Alligator mississippiensis: one gene and its partners. The protein of the gene in region 1 purifies or fractionates together with the protein of each later gene. This does not show direct contact. Links are inferred from orthologs where the notes say so. Each region holds a gene or a part of one and is shown on either strand. Other genes may lie near its edges. The genes, in order: IFT57, IFT88 and IFT20.

Evidence for each region.
Region 2: the proteins of IFT57 (region 1) and IFT88 purify together in Homo sapiens (affinity purification with mass spectrometry; 3 studies listed by BioGRID and IntAct, counting the BioPlex papers as one, with this or other methods). This does not show direct contact. The link is inferred for Alligator mississippiensis from reciprocal best matches to the Homo sapiens genes IFT57 and IFT88.
Region 3: the proteins of IFT57 (region 1) and IFT20 purify together in Homo sapiens (affinity purification with mass spectrometry; 3 studies listed by BioGRID and IntAct, counting the BioPlex papers as one, with this or other methods). This does not show direct contact. The link is inferred for Alligator mississippiensis from reciprocal best matches to the Homo sapiens genes IFT57 and IFT20.

Annotation. Positions count from the first base shown.
Region 1 is NC_081824.1:258,561,155-258,566,116, reverse strand, and holds the start of IFT57 (intraflagellar transport protein 57 homolog), read right to left. Parts: upstream 3,330-4,962; 5' UTR 3,315-3,329; coding exon 3,133-3,314; intron 1-3,132. UniProt on the Homo sapiens protein: Required for the formation of cilia. Plays an indirect role in sonic hedgehog signaling, cilia being required for all activity of the hedgehog pathway.
Region 2 is NC_081824.1:433,864,864-433,869,825, forward strand, and holds the start of IFT88 (intraflagellar transport protein 88 homolog), read right to left. Parts: upstream 3,392-4,962; 5' UTR 3,268-3,391; intron 2,784-3,267; 5' UTR 2,624-2,783; intron 1-2,623. UniProt on the Homo sapiens protein: Positively regulates primary cilium biogenesis. Also involved in autophagy since it is required for trafficking of ATG16L and the expansion of the autophagic compartment.
Region 3 is NC_081837.1:7,380,651-7,385,612, forward strand, and holds the start of IFT20 (intraflagellar transport protein 20 homolog), read right to left. Parts: upstream 3,111-4,962; 5' UTR 2,779-3,110; coding exon 2,652-2,778; intron 672-2,651; coding exon 586-671; intron 252-585; coding exon of another isoform or gene 189-251; exon of another isoform or gene 1-188. UniProt on the Homo sapiens protein: Part of intraflagellar transport (IFT) particles involved in ciliary process assembly. May play a role in the trafficking of ciliary membrane proteins from the Golgi complex to the cilium.

The DNA of each region.
Region 1 (4,962 bases):
TGCAAAAGTAAAACTCTGCAATAATGTGCCTATTTAAAAGATCCTGGGGTAGAATTTAAGCTGGCAGAAAGGCATTTGACCAGGACTATCCAAGCCTGTCTTAATGGGGATTTTTACTCCATGTTCATCACTACCATATTTGTGTGACACAGCAGTGGGAACCTGTCATGTGATCCAGCCAACACTAGTCTTTGGCTTTTCAGCAGCTGACAGCTGATCCTTTGACAGCCTGTCTACCTTCCCAGCAAGGGAAAGGGCAGGCTGTCAATGGGTGGGATCCCCTTGGAGTGTGGGAAACCAAGGAGCAGCCCTCTATCACCTCCTGACTAGAGAGCTTGTGACTCCAGCTCTCCAGTCAGGGAGCTGGATTGTTTTCCTGGTCCTGGAAATTTTGGGACCTCAAACTGAACATCTGCCCATACTCTTTGGCTTTCATCCCTTTTCCTAGAGATAAAAAAAAATACCTCCCAAGCTTATGGTGTTGCTAGCTTCTGCAAATCAACAGCACACCAGGGGCTGATTGGCTGGCATTGTGTCTGGCTGCCTTTGACTCCCCAGATCATATAACAAAGTACTACTTTATGTCTGGGATGACTGAGGCTTGCCTTTTGGTACAAGTCTGGAATGGCCTAAATTCAGGCCTCAGGAGCTGTAGTGAGACATCCCAACCAGTTTGTCCCCATGCCTATTATTATTATCATCATTATCATCAATATCAATTATGATGATGATAAAAATAAACATATTTTATACTCTAGGGGAAAGTTGCAATGTGACAAACCTCAGACTTTTGCAAGAAGCATGATAGTAAGTGACACCAAGAGCCAGGATTTGGTTTTTAGAAGTGATCTGTGAAATATTTGCCAAAACAGACTGCACTGATTTTTTAATCCTTTGGGGAATAAAAAGAAAAGATCTGGAAGGCTTGTTCAATCTATTCCTTTCTCTCCCTACCCCCCCATCCCACTCTCTTTTTCCTTGAATATCACAACATCCACTGTATAGTTTGACTGAATCAGAGAAGCATAAGCTTTCATGAACAAGAGCTCACTTCATCAGACGCTATATGACTCATTCATCATAAAAACTAATGAAAGTGTATGCATCTCCGAGTCAATTAAAGTGCATCTTCACCCTGCCTTCTGCCTGACTTCAGACTAATACCACTAACTTCCTCTCGTTATCTATTTTAACTTGATTTTTATGCAAAACATCCGAAGGTCTCTGTGTACACTAATCACTTCCATCTTAACTGATGAGGTCAGGGGTTTGAATCTTAAAACCAAAATATCCACTGTAACAGGAATGCCCAGTTCTGCTACTGGGAAAGGGCTGAAGGACAAGGAAAACCTGCAAGCCATTTAAGAATAGGACTTTTGTAGCCTGGAGAGGCAAGGACTCAGAAATGGGAACCTGACTCCAAGGAGGAACAAGGAGCTTAGCTCCCTGAGACTAGCAGGGGAGAAGGGTCCAGTCTAGAGTCTGCAAGGGTGAGAAAGACACCTGGTACCTGCAACAATAAGCCGTCCTAGGAAGGCAGCCACTAAAACAGAACTGCCAGTCCCTTGGGGATCCAGCTGCCTAGCAATAGGCTTCACAGAAATTGCTCTGCAGGCCAGGAGTAAGCTGAAGGCTGCAAACAGGTAGGGACACTGCTGAATGACAAGCAGCTGGCCCAGGACTGCAGACTCACCTCTCACAGAGGCCCTAGGACAGGGGTGGGCAAAATGCAGCCCGTGGGCCGGATGCAGCTCGCCAGGCCATTCTATCCGGCCTGTGGGGACCCTAAAAAATTTAGAAAATTAATATTTATCTGCCCCTGGCTGCCTGTCATGCGGCCCTCAATGGCTTGCCAAAACTCAGTAAGCTGCCCTTGGCCCGAAATAATTGCCCATCCCTGCCCTAGGAGATAAAGAGAAACCTCTGTGCCCAAGCTGAGCAGCAGGGATAAGCTGGCCAGCATACGGGCTTACCTCCCAGGCAGAGTGGGGCACTCTGGCCCTGACTGTTGAGGATCAAGGAACTCTGCTGCTCAATATGGGGAACCCAGAATCACAAGGAGAGGAGAAGCCACTAGAAGAGGCAGGGGAGCCGCTATACCAGGAGTGTGCCTGTGCCAGGTAACATTTTTGTTAAGGACTGTTACCCAGTGGGCTTTTGTGTTTCTGTTAGGAGTCTGATAATAACGACCAGAGGACCAGGAGTGATTGTGAGGGTGTGTTTGAAGGCCACAAAGCAGAGTGCCCAGCATGCTGCGATCTTTACTTCTGTGAGGGACAAGAGCCTGAAGCAGCATAGGCTGAGGCCATTGGGCCAAGAGCCAGAGCCGAGGGGCAGAGGCCAGGGAGGTTCAGGCCTATCTGAGGAATGTGAGCCTTATGCCGATGGGACAAGGGTTATCCCCCACTGCTAACAGAGGGGGTTACTGGGCATGCGCCAGCTGAACCCATGGGACGACTACAACGCAGAATGGGGACGGGAGCGAAAGCTGCCGTGCCAGACGAGCGGGCTGAGGGGGTCGTTCCAGCAAAGGTTACCAACTCTGAATCTATTCCAGGTTTCATAACACAATGTAATGACATGAATGGCTTCATGTCAGGAAGTCAAATACAACGTTCCTATTACATTTTAAAAACCCACTGGACAACTATATAAATCAGATTCAACATTTAATAAATATTTATTTTAATGAATGCCCTGTCATTGACCTCCCACGTGACACTCAGCAGTCTCCTGGAGATTTATATCTAATTTCTGGAGGCTCCAGGGCAGTCCTGGAGGACTGGCAACCCTAGCACCTGCCAGTGCCCACTGGACTGTGAGCAAGTCCAAGGAGCAAGTGCCTGCTGCCCAATAAAACGCTGCCCAGACCAGGGCCAGGGTGCAGGTGTGGCTGCAGGTCAGCTACTTTGGACCCTGGGGCACCCCTGGAAGGATCTAGGACCACTCCCTCAGGGGCAGGGCGCAGGGCTGTACCAGAGCCTCTGACTGTAAGCCACACCCTACCCCAGCCTCAAACCACGCCCCCTGCAGGTAGACTGCCAAGGCGACGTCACAGGCGAGGAGGGAGGTAGCCCCTAGTTAGCGCCCCCTCTGCCCCGCGCCGCCAGCGGCTTCCGGGTTAAGGGTCACCTGGAGAGGGGCCGCATGTTGTGGCGCCGCAGCGCCTCCTCCTCGTAGTCGAGCAGCTTCAGCTTCTCCAGCAGGTCTTCCATCGTCACGAACATCTGATAGGCCGCGCCCGGGCCCCGCTCCGCTGCTGCCTCCGCCCCCTCCCCGCCGCGCCGCTCGCCGCCGCCGCCCTCCTCCGCCATCTCTAGCCTCCCCCTGCCCAGGGCCTCCAAAGCGCTGCCCCGACCCGGCAGCCGCGCCGTCACCGCGGCAACGAGCTCTGCCAATCGCCTCTCTGCACGGCTCGTTCCGCCCTGGCCCCAACCAATCAAGCTCTCCGTACACCATACCCTTGCACCAGTCACCTCGCAGCTCGGGGGCCCAGCTAGTGAGCGGGGGCTGTTCTCCTTCACGCGCGCCCCCAGCTGAATTGGCGAGCAGGCAGGGCGCCGAAGCGCCAGAATGTCGGGTTCTGTCGTGACGTGTCGCGACGTCACCGCCACCCCGGGGCGCGCGCACGTTCAAGCATGTGCATCCGCTCACACGCCCGTGCCCGTTCACGCGGATACGCACCCATAATCACCCCCACACACGTGCACCCCCATTCATACTCCCCACACAGGTGCACCCACTGTCACCCCCAAACACACGCACCCCCATTCACACCCCCTCATAGGTGCACCCCTATTCACCCCTCCACGCACGCACCCCCATTTACACATACCCTTGTTCCCACACGCAGACGTCCACACCCATTCCCACACACACGCAAACACGCACACCCATTCTCACATATACACCATTTATACACACATTCCCCTATTCACATAGCCCCACTCAAACGCCTGTATACACGCCCGTTCACACGCACCTTTCACACACTCGCACCCTCACTGACAGCCTCATTCTCTTACGTTCATACACAAACACGCACACCTTCACACAAATACACACACGCCTATTCACACCTCTCATTCACACACGTCACCAGTCACACGCAGTTCTCTCACGTATGGGCATCCAGTCACACAAAGCACGCACACACAAAAACATGCACACCCATTCACACACGCACACCCATGTACACACAGAACCATTTACATGGATACCAACAAATGTGCATGCACACCCACTCACACACACCTGCACCCATTCACACACATGCACATGCATGCCCATTCCATACATGCACACACAAACATGCACCCATATACATATGCATGTACACCCATCCACACACACTCCCCATTTACATACACGCAGACCCATTCAGACACACACCAACAGCCATACATACACACACAAACATGCACATCCATACATCTATTCACATCTCCCCATTCACACACGCACACTCCCATTCACACCCATAAAACATTCACACACACTCAGGCACATGCACCATTCACATGAGATGTACTCCCACTCACACACACATACATAGGCACTCCCATTCACACATGCACCTCCACGGACACACAAACCATTCCCACAAACATGCACACGCAGGCCCATTCTCACACACAAACACACACACCCATTCACACATGCACCCCACAGACGCACACACAAACGTGCCATCATGCCCCTGCATTCACACACACACAACCCCATTCACACCTGTTCACCCCATTCACACACGCGTGCCCCCATTCGAAACACACCCATCACACACATGTGCGCCTCTTCGCATACACAAACCACTCACGCAGGCGCACACAAAAAAAAACACGTGTGTTCATTCACACATCCATTCACACGCGCGCGCACCCATTCATGCCCCCAGTCACACAAACGGGCACACCCATTTACACACGCGTACATGCACACCCGTTCCACCAGACTGAGACA
Region 2 (4,962 bases), about 180 Mb from region 1:
AGAAGGGGCAGCAAGTAGGCGGCTCTGGTCTGGCTGCTCCCTTGTCTCTGAGTGCCTCAGGGCAGGGGCTGCACTGTAGAGCCTGTGCACTGAGGCACTTGGAACCCCCATCTCGAGGCACACTGCATCCCAGCCAGCTGGCTAGTGACTGGCTCAGACGTAGGGTGCCTCAGCACAGGAGGTACCCTGCTTTGCACTGCACTGCTTGGTGGGCTTTGCACTGCTTTTTTGCTACCGGGAACTCTGGAAAGAGGTTTGCAGTGCCATAACCTGAACATGCCTGCATGTCTGGATCTGACCTTTTGAGTGCAAGTGTGTGAACATGCATGACCATATTTTTCTATCAAGTTCCCTGTTTTCTTTCTGCCTGTGGTAAACATTTGTATGTACCTGAGTGTCCTTTCATGGTAGTATTCCTTTGTTACTACACCTGTGTTTTTCAGTTTTTTATTCAGTATTTTTGTGGACATTTTTTTATTTAGGTCATCTGATGTTATCTGGTTCTCATCCTTCCTCCAGTTATTTTCAGTAGTTGCATATGAGGTGACATCACAACATTATGTCTCATTCTGTTATCTTACCGGTGGCTCAGTCAGAACAATCTGTAGATCAATCTCTGTCTCTTGTTGAAATATAAGGCCTGTCTACACTTGACATTGTCTCAGATTAAACTTGAGTCATTTTGCATTAAAGAATTTTCTTTCCCCAAACACAAGTGTTGTAGTGAATCATGTGGTATTTGAACATGTGCGTTTAAACGCACTTGGGAAGCAAGTCTGCTGAAGTGCAGGATGGGCTCATCTGCAGCAAAGTAGGGGTGGAGACGTACTTATCCCAAAGTAGCTCTTGAGTATCTCCTAAATCCTCCCACCAGTATCCTACACAGTTTTTCAGGATGCCTGGATTGCATGTTTGAGTGCCCTTGCTGTTCCAGGATCATCCTGACTCACCTGTTTAAACACTGGCACACAACCAGTTACTGTCCTCCTGTGACCCCAGTACTGAGGTTGTCCATATGACTGTCACACTCCTGTCTGTTGAACAGCTATCCCTCGTACTGAGGTTCTAGACTTCGTTGTTTTTTGGGAAAGGAATATGTGCAGGCCTATCTGTGCACTGGAATGGCTAGAATTCAGATATATAAGTGTCTGTCTGAACAAATGAATGAGGGAAGCGCAACACATATTGAAGCCAGTGCCAAATAAAAGAAAAGAACTTAACCTGGTTGAAAAAAGTGTAAGGGATGACCATGACTTTTGGAGAACTTGCAGCATCTACAGCTACTTTGAGCTGGACTGTATATTTGCGAGGGAACCTAAAATTAAACCTCTGCGTTTGATGGAGATCACCAAAGAACACTGAAAGCACCCATGGCAGTAATAATCCCAAACCCTCTGATTTCATGACCACTGCAGACACGGAGGAAAGACTACTTTCCAAAGACCGAGGAGCTGACAGAATTGCAACCAGGTGGTCCAACTGCATCACAGAGGAGACACTGCAGGGAATCACTTCCAGTAAGCAGTATATGTTGCTTATGTGGAGACAAACAGCTCTTAGTTTGAGGTGTCGTAAGGGTGATGTCATATTTGTCTAGAGCAGGAGTAGGCAACCCCTGGCATGGGTGCCAGAGCATGGCATGTGAACGCATTTTGCTTGGTACATGTGCCTTGGGGCCAGGGCTACACTACCACAACAAGGATCTGGCCCCTTGTGGCTCCCCTGCCATCCACCTGGCATGCTAATGTCTTACAAGTTGAGGTTGCAGGTATTTTTGGCACTGCCCAAAAATGTTGCTGACCCCTAGTTTAGATTGCCTAGTATTCAAGTATATGAATTATTATACATTCATCAAAAATGGATGGTGGGATGGAATAAGAAGAATATTTTCATTTAAAACCCAAAATACATGGCCATCCAGTGGGAATCCATGAACCTCAGGAGTGGAACAGTGCATTACAGAATGTCTGGCTAGAATTCAGAGTTCTTTTTCAAAGTCTGACTCTCCTGTGTAGCCATGCAGCAAAGAGAAAAATATTTCTTTAATTGGGGAGTAACGGTGCAGTGGTATGCTCTAGTGGCACCACAGTTATTGGTCTTAATATAGACACAGAAAACCTACTGCAAATTTCAAGAGCAGATCTGCCTTTTCATTGTTCCATCTTTAGTTTTCCCATGTGTTTTTAACATTCCTGGCTGAAATTCTTTTGAATACAAATTAGGTTTGATTAGCTTGGTTCAAAGTATTAACATAAAATGCTCGTGCATGCATGCTTACTTGTGTTCCCTGGTTGAGAATCACTAATTTAAAGAGACTATATGTGAATTCTTCAAAATTATACCTTCTTGCAATTGAGTAGGAGATATAAACTTGCTTCCCTTTTCATCTTGAATCTGGGCTGTAATAACCAAGGCATCTGGCTATACAGGTGGAAGAGATGCAACAAACATTAATTTTAAGAAAAAAAGTTTAGCATCCTGAAATGGTCAACTTTTGACAGCTGTTTACTGCCAAAATAATGCATGGTAATTATATTTTATATATCATGATAAATGTCCGTAACCCAATAAAAAACCATATATAAAAACAAAATATGGTCATAGAGCAAGTGTGGTTACTTACTATCAGGTTGGGTCAGATGCTAACAGCTGTGCATTGAAACATGGAAAAAGGGGTGCTTGGCACTCTGTAGTCTCTGTTTTCTGTCACAAGCAAATAGTGTGTTGGCAAGGTTTCTTCCATTCTTGAAGAAATTGATCACTGTAGAATTATCTTCTCTGTCCTGAGGATTTAAAAAATGAGCATATATAATTACAGCCTGCTTTGAGCATTTTATTACAATAAATAAATATCAGTGAAAGATCCAAAATTATTTAAGATTATGAAAATGTTGTGACACTTATTTTGGTTAATAAGTGTAAAGATTTGGAGTTTCTCTTATTTTTTACAGTTATTAGCTTATTAATTTTTTCAATTCTTTTTTTCAATCAAAAGGAAGACAGGCAAGATGATAAAATGTATTAATTAGCTCTTACAGTAAGAGACAGGTCTGACTAAAGTTAGACACGCTATGTATTTGGCTAAAAGTTTGTTAACCTATGTGCATTAGGTGAGGAGAATAGAAACATGCAGTTTCTAACATCCATAAAATGTGAAGAAATAATCTCTCTAGCCTTAAATCTACCCAAGTTATAATACAGACTTAACTAGCATGTAGCATTAAATGTACAAGCTCCTTTGCAATGCTAGGAGAGTATGATACTTACTTGTTTACCAGGAGTCTTTCAGTTTTGGGAGCATATTTTCTCCAATTTTAAGATCTTGCTGCTTGATATTCAGCATGATTTCTTCAATGCATAGTACGCATCTGCCAAAATGGCTCCTTTGAACTCTGTTTTTGTTTAAAATTCTATCATTCATCATGGCCAGTAATGACTCTGGGTTACTCGGTAACTGCTGGTTACTAAGTAAACTCTTTCCTCCATTTACTTTTTAAATATTATTAGAATTGATGCAAATCTTTGCTTACCAAAAGAGATGTGCAAGTAAACTTAAATACCCTTCGTCTTATGTGACTTCTAAGTAAACCAAAACTAGATGAGACTGCTTTCACAAAATTTTCACTTTGAGGGGGAAGGGTTTTGTTTTATACTTTCCTAAGTTCAGTATCTAAGATGCGTCTAATCCAAGTGCACTATGGAACATATTTTCCGTTACTCTATTTCTGCACTGAATTTGTGGCCAGTGGCACAAGATAAATGAATTCAAGCCAATCCTGTGAATCCCTAATTTTGGATCCGATACCTGGAACTACTTGGAGTAGCCCTAGGGCTGCTCTGAATCTGGCCAATTTGTAATTGACCTCCAATCAGAAGAGCCAGAGTGAGATTAATTGTGGTCTTAACTTATGTATTTGGGATATTTTGACTTAAATTGATTTTGTAGATTAGAATATTTCATGTAGATTTTTCAGTCCTTCACATCTCTTGTCTAATATATAGTTCAATTTTATAGTGACTTATTTTTTATACAATTGTGAACCTCCTTAGATCTAGAAATTAGGGAAATAACAGGCAATTTGATTTATTTTTATAGGGGAAAACAAAATATATTAGATACTTTACAGAATAAATCATAAGACATGGGATGGCCTTTACCCTAAATGGAATAATCTTAGATAAAAAAAACATGCAAACATAAGGCTGGAAAGGACCTCAGGAAGTAATTTAGTCTAGTCCCTTTCTCAGGACAGGTTCATTTATGTTTAAACTGTCTCAGACAAATGTTTATCATACCTTCACTTAATCTTCCAGTGATGGAGATTCCATAGTTTCTCTGGTAATCTTGTCCAGGATTTAACCACTCCCAGAAGTAGAAAGTTCTTAATATTTGAACTCTTCCTTGTTGCAACTGAAGCTCATTATTTCTTGTCCTGTCCCTTGTGTACATAGAGAATGAATGATCACTGTCATCATCTTTATAACAGCTGTTTTTGTAATTGAAAATTGTTGCCAAATTTCCCCTCATATTTCTCTTCCCTGGACTAAATAATCCCAGTTCTTTCAACCTTTTCTTGTATGTCTTGTTTCCAGACTTCTAATTGTTGTTGTTGGAGAGGAATCAGAAGAGAGCAGTTTTCCATATCTTCCTTAACAAGGTGGCCAGAACTGGACCTTGTCCTCTTGGTAGACTACTACTGAATAAAGCAGAAAAATCACTTTCCATGACGTGTATGATACTCTGATGTTCTAATTCATCTCAGTAAGCTTCTAGCCCCCCCGCAACAATATTATATTGTTGACTTCTTGTCAGCTTGTAGACCACTGTAAACCTCCAGTACCAGGCCCTTATTGAATTTCAGCATATTTGCTTAATAAATTGTGAAATGATATTAAGTTTATTTTGAATCTTAATCGTGTTGTGTAAAGGGCCTGCTACCGTATCGAGCTTGGTGTCATCTG
Region 3 (4,962 bases), on another chromosome or scaffold:
CACCAAATCAAGATGACAATACATTTGCTTGTTTATTATACTATTTCTAAATTAACCTATAAAGTGTACAGATGGGTGATGTGTCTGTCTACGTATGCATCAACAATGGAGTTCACAAAAGAAGCTATCATTAGTGTGTATGTAAATGCTTTTTTCTCTAATCAACCTCTTCCTTCTGCCAACTCCCTTCAATGACGATGCTCTCCCTGGTGACACTTTCTGAATGATGCCGCACGTACAAAATTCGGGTCCTTTGGAACAAATTAGCGGAAGAAAGAAACTGATTAGAAAGCATGTTTACCTGCACATGTGCCAACAACCAGTAGGGCTGGGATAATGCAAATACAAGAGTGATGTGACACTATAATGAGCGTGCTTGTCAGAATCTGTCAATGGTTCTTTATACACCTTGATAAGGGGAGACCTGGCTGTCACTGCAGAGATCCCGCACGCACCACCATCTGCGACTGTCTATTTCAGATGGATTGCTACAGATTGCTTTGAATGTGAAATAAGGGGGGGGGGGGGGGGGCGGTCTTTACTTGCAGAGGCAGAGGATAGCATTAGATAATATTTGCACAGTACCTTCATCTTCTCGCTTTCAGCTGCTTTTGCTAGTTGATCAACAAGTTCAATTAAGCTACCCACTATTTTTTGAAACTCTGCAATTTCTGGGGAGGGGAAAAAAAAAGAGAGAAATTGCTGTTATACCAAATGCATCCATCAAAGTGATACCAGTGTTGTATTCTGATAGACTTTGAGTGCTTTGTTTTTTAAACTGGGATTACTTTGTGCTTGACAGAAACAACGCGCACACAGATTGCATCAGGAACAATGCACGCACAGATTGTTCTGTGGTTTTTCTTGTTACTCAAATTGGGTGCTATTTCTTCTACTATGATGTGTGCTTCTGTGTTCTGACTTGTTTTATCTCTGGATTTAAATAAAGCCCTTTGTTGGCTTCTTTAGCAAGTGAAGTGTCCTAACATACAATATCACAATAAAGCCCTGCGGGAAAATAATCCTTTCAAAAGACAAAGCTGGGCTTCCACCTACAAAAAACCATCCCTTTTCCTTGCGTGAGACCAAATGCATTTGCTGTATGTGCTGCGAGCTGGAAATGTCACAATAAATAATACTTCACGGGAACTTTGCCTTGATTTAATCTTTAACCGAAAGCAATTGAGCAGTCAGGATTTGCAACGAGAAGTCGCCTTACACAGGTGTATCCATGCCATTCGCACGGCTGTGGTAGCAAACAGAAAGCAATGCTATCTGCAGCCAAGCCATTCCCTACACTAATGAATTCACTTCAGAAAACATCTCCATAAATAATAGGTCAAATATTGCTGGGGGGGAGAGGGGAAGTCGACATCGACCTCTTCTATCTATGCTGGACGGGAGCTTGGCAATGAGAAGCTCAGGCCTGGATCAGGTTTCTTTTCCGAGTTTCCCTCGCTTTATGCGGGTTGCGTATGTGCAAATTCGCTCTTAGGCAACGACCCTTTTTATACCAAAAATGGGAAATGGTCATTATATGCAAGGTAAATTCACTCTTATGTGATCGGTGCAGCGGAAGCCCGCAGTCCCCTGCTTTGTGCAGTGCACTGTGGGAGCGACAACACAGGCAGAGGAAGCAGACATTATTTGGGGGGGGCCGAGGTGGCCGGCGGCTCCTCCGGGAGCTGTGAGCCACGAAGCCGCCCGCAGCCACTGCCCCGGGAGCGCCACGACGCCACGTCACTGCAGCCGAGGCCCTGGAACGTATCCATGCTTGTTACATCGTAAAGTGGGTTCCCGCCCCTCGATGCGAATTCGAGTCACGCACCGCTTTCCAGCGTCAAGCGAGGGAAACCTAAACTCGGTGCTTGCGAGGCACGAATTCGAGTTACAGACGTTTTCCAGGAACTTGCCTACCGCATCGAGCGAGGGAAACCTATCCGTGCAATTCGTCTTTGCTTGTAAGGCACGTGTACACGGCACGAATTTGAGTTACGCACCGCTTTCCAGCGACGCGTGTACCGCGTTGAGGGAAACCCGCACACGCAACTCGTCCGTGCTTGTGCGACACGAATTCGAGTTACAGACGTTTTCCAGGAACTTGCCTACCGCATCGAGCGAGGGAAACCTATCCGTGCAACTCGTCTTTGCTTGTAAGACACGTGTACGCGGCACGAATTTGAGTTACGCACCGCTTTCCAGCGACGCGTGTAGCGCATCGAGGGAAACCCGCATACGCAACTCGTCCGTGCTTGTGCGACACGTGTGTGCGACACGAATTCGAGTTACAGACGTTTTCCAGGAACTTGCCTACCGCGTCGAGCGAGGGAAACCTATACGTGCAACTCGTCTTTGCTTGTAAGGCACGTGTACGCGGCACGAATTTGAGTTACGCACCGCTTTCCAGCGACGCGTGTAGCGCGTCGAGGGAAACCCGCACACGCAACTCGTCCGTGCTTGTGCGACACGTGTGTGCGACACGAATTCGAGTTACAGATGTTTTCCAGCCACGCGCGTACCGCATCTACTCCCTCCCCCCGAGGGGCCAGGCTCGGAGTGACCCCCTGCCCTGGGGAACATGGGTCAGCCCGGCCCTGCTGACTCAGCACACGTGGGGGCCCGATCCGGGGGGGAGGGAGGGGGGCACTCACTGTCCACGAAGGCCTTGCACTCCTCCCGCAGCTCCGCCGTCTGCTGCGCCACGCCCGGCTCCAGCACCCGCAGCTTGTTGAGCTCGTCGAAGTGCAGCCCCGCGCCACCCAGCAGCTCCCGGGCCATGGCCGCCGCCTGCGCCCAGCGGCCTCAGTTTACCCGCCGGTGGAATGGGCGCAGCAGCGCCCCCCGCGCCCTGCGACTCCCCTGCCCGCGGCCTTCGGCTGCCACGGCGACAGCCCCGCCCCCCGCGCGGAATGTACCATCCCGCGGGGGGAGGGAGGGAGGGGATAGGCTGAGAGTAGCGGGGCGCTGCGTTTGTTTAGCTCATTCCATTGTTTCTCATTCTATTTTAGTATTCTTCTTAATTATTTATAATGACGCGTGGCTGCCAGGCTCGGCTCCTTGCTGACCTCCGCGCGGCCTCCACGTCGTGGGGCCTCCCTGCCTGCCGCCGGCCTGCCGGGAGTTGTAGTTCCCGACTGCCGGGGCCCATCCACAAGTGAGGGGCATGCTGGGAATGGCTGTCTTTGCATGCAGGGGCTTGCTGGGAGCGCCCGTCCGCAAGTGAGGTGCATGCTGGGAGTGACTTTTTGCCCGCGGAGCATGTCGGGAGTTGCAGTTCCAGGCTACCGAGGCCTACTGGGAGCTCCCGTCCATAAGAGAGATGCATGCTGGGAATGGCTGTCTTTGCCCGCGGAGCATGCCGGGAGTTGCAGTTACCGGCGGGAAACTCCCATCCACAACAGAGGCGCGTGCCCGCGGAGCATGTTGGGAAGCGTCCCCACCCCGCGGAGCACGCTGGGAATTGTAGTCCCCGCCGCCGTGGCGGCGAGGAGAAGTCGGGGGCGGGCCTGGGCGGGAGGAGACGTGCTGACCGGGCCGGGGCGGTGGAGCCGGCGGCGGAGCGGCCTGCACCGGTACGAGCTCGGGGGGGTTGACCGGCAGAAGTGAGGCGGGAGGGGTGTGCCCCCCACCCACAGGCCCGGCTGGGGGCCTCCCTGTGTTTGTGCCTCCGTCTGTCGCTGCAGGGGTGTAGGTGCTGCGGGGTCACACCCCAGGTGCTGGGGATGGGTTCAAATGATCCTCAGGTAATTTGGGGGGGGCTCGGAGGGAAAAAATTGGGGGGAACGCAAGACCCATCGACTCAACCCGAAACCTGGTGGAGGGGAGCGCAGGAAGCTCCCCGGTTGCGGGGGACGAGGTCCGGGCGAGGGGCGAGGTGCCCCCGGCAGCGCGCGGGTCCCATCGGTTTAGTCGCCAAGGGCCGGAAAGGCAGACGCTGGCCCTACGGAGATGGGAGCAGCCATTGCTTGAAACCGCAGTTGCCTTTTGTTGTCTCTGGTCTGAAAGAAAATTTAGGACCAAACTCACCTTGTGAATTAGTTAAACCTTGCGGGAAGTCAGCGTCATCTTAATTGAATAACGACTTTTTTATGTTAAAAAGCAGATTTTTTTTTTCTCTCTCCTTAGTATATAAGTTACTTTGATAAGAATATCTTCGTTAGAAAGGTAACCCAACATACCGATCTATAAATTGGTGTGTAAAATACCTTTAAATCCATTTATTTATACATTTATTATTGGTGTGTAAGCTACCTTTATACTGATATAATTGCGCCTGGGCTACATGTGCTGCTTTAATCCTATCAGTAAACTAACAGAAATAGTTCAATAGGTTTTTGTGATGTGAAAAGTTTATCCTGTGGGAGGAAGGGGGAAATGGAGGTCTGGCTAAAAATCATTTTGATGAATTACCCGAGATGGTGACAATCTTCAGCCATTACCTATTTGGGTAAGGTTTGAATTGTAACCTCATGCTGAAAGGTTGTGTGTCCTCTTGACAAGCTTTTGAACCTACTCTTTCGTCCTTCTAGCTTGCAGTCCCTGTGACTAGCTTGCAGGGATAAAATATATGAGTCCCATATTTTCATTGGGAAATGTAGCTTCCCTGTTGATGTAATCCAGGGGTGGCCAACCTACGGCGCACATGCCACAAGTGGTCCAAGCAGCCTGTGTGTGGGGTATGTGAGTGATCAGGGAGGGGGCAGGAAGCAGAAAGCAACGCAGCAAATGGGGCAGGGAGCGGAGGGAAGGAGGCAGAGCAGCAAACCAGGCAAGAGAAGAGGATTGGAGTGGCAGCCGGGGAGGGTGCAGTGGTAATTTGTGTCCTGCCTGTCAGAAAGGTTGGTTCCAACTAAACTAATCTATTCTTTTGTTTCTAACGTTGTCAAAGGCTCCAGTGGATTATGACAATCGCCGCCTTGCCCTCCCTGCCCAGCTCATTGTGACTTCTCCCCAATCACGGCG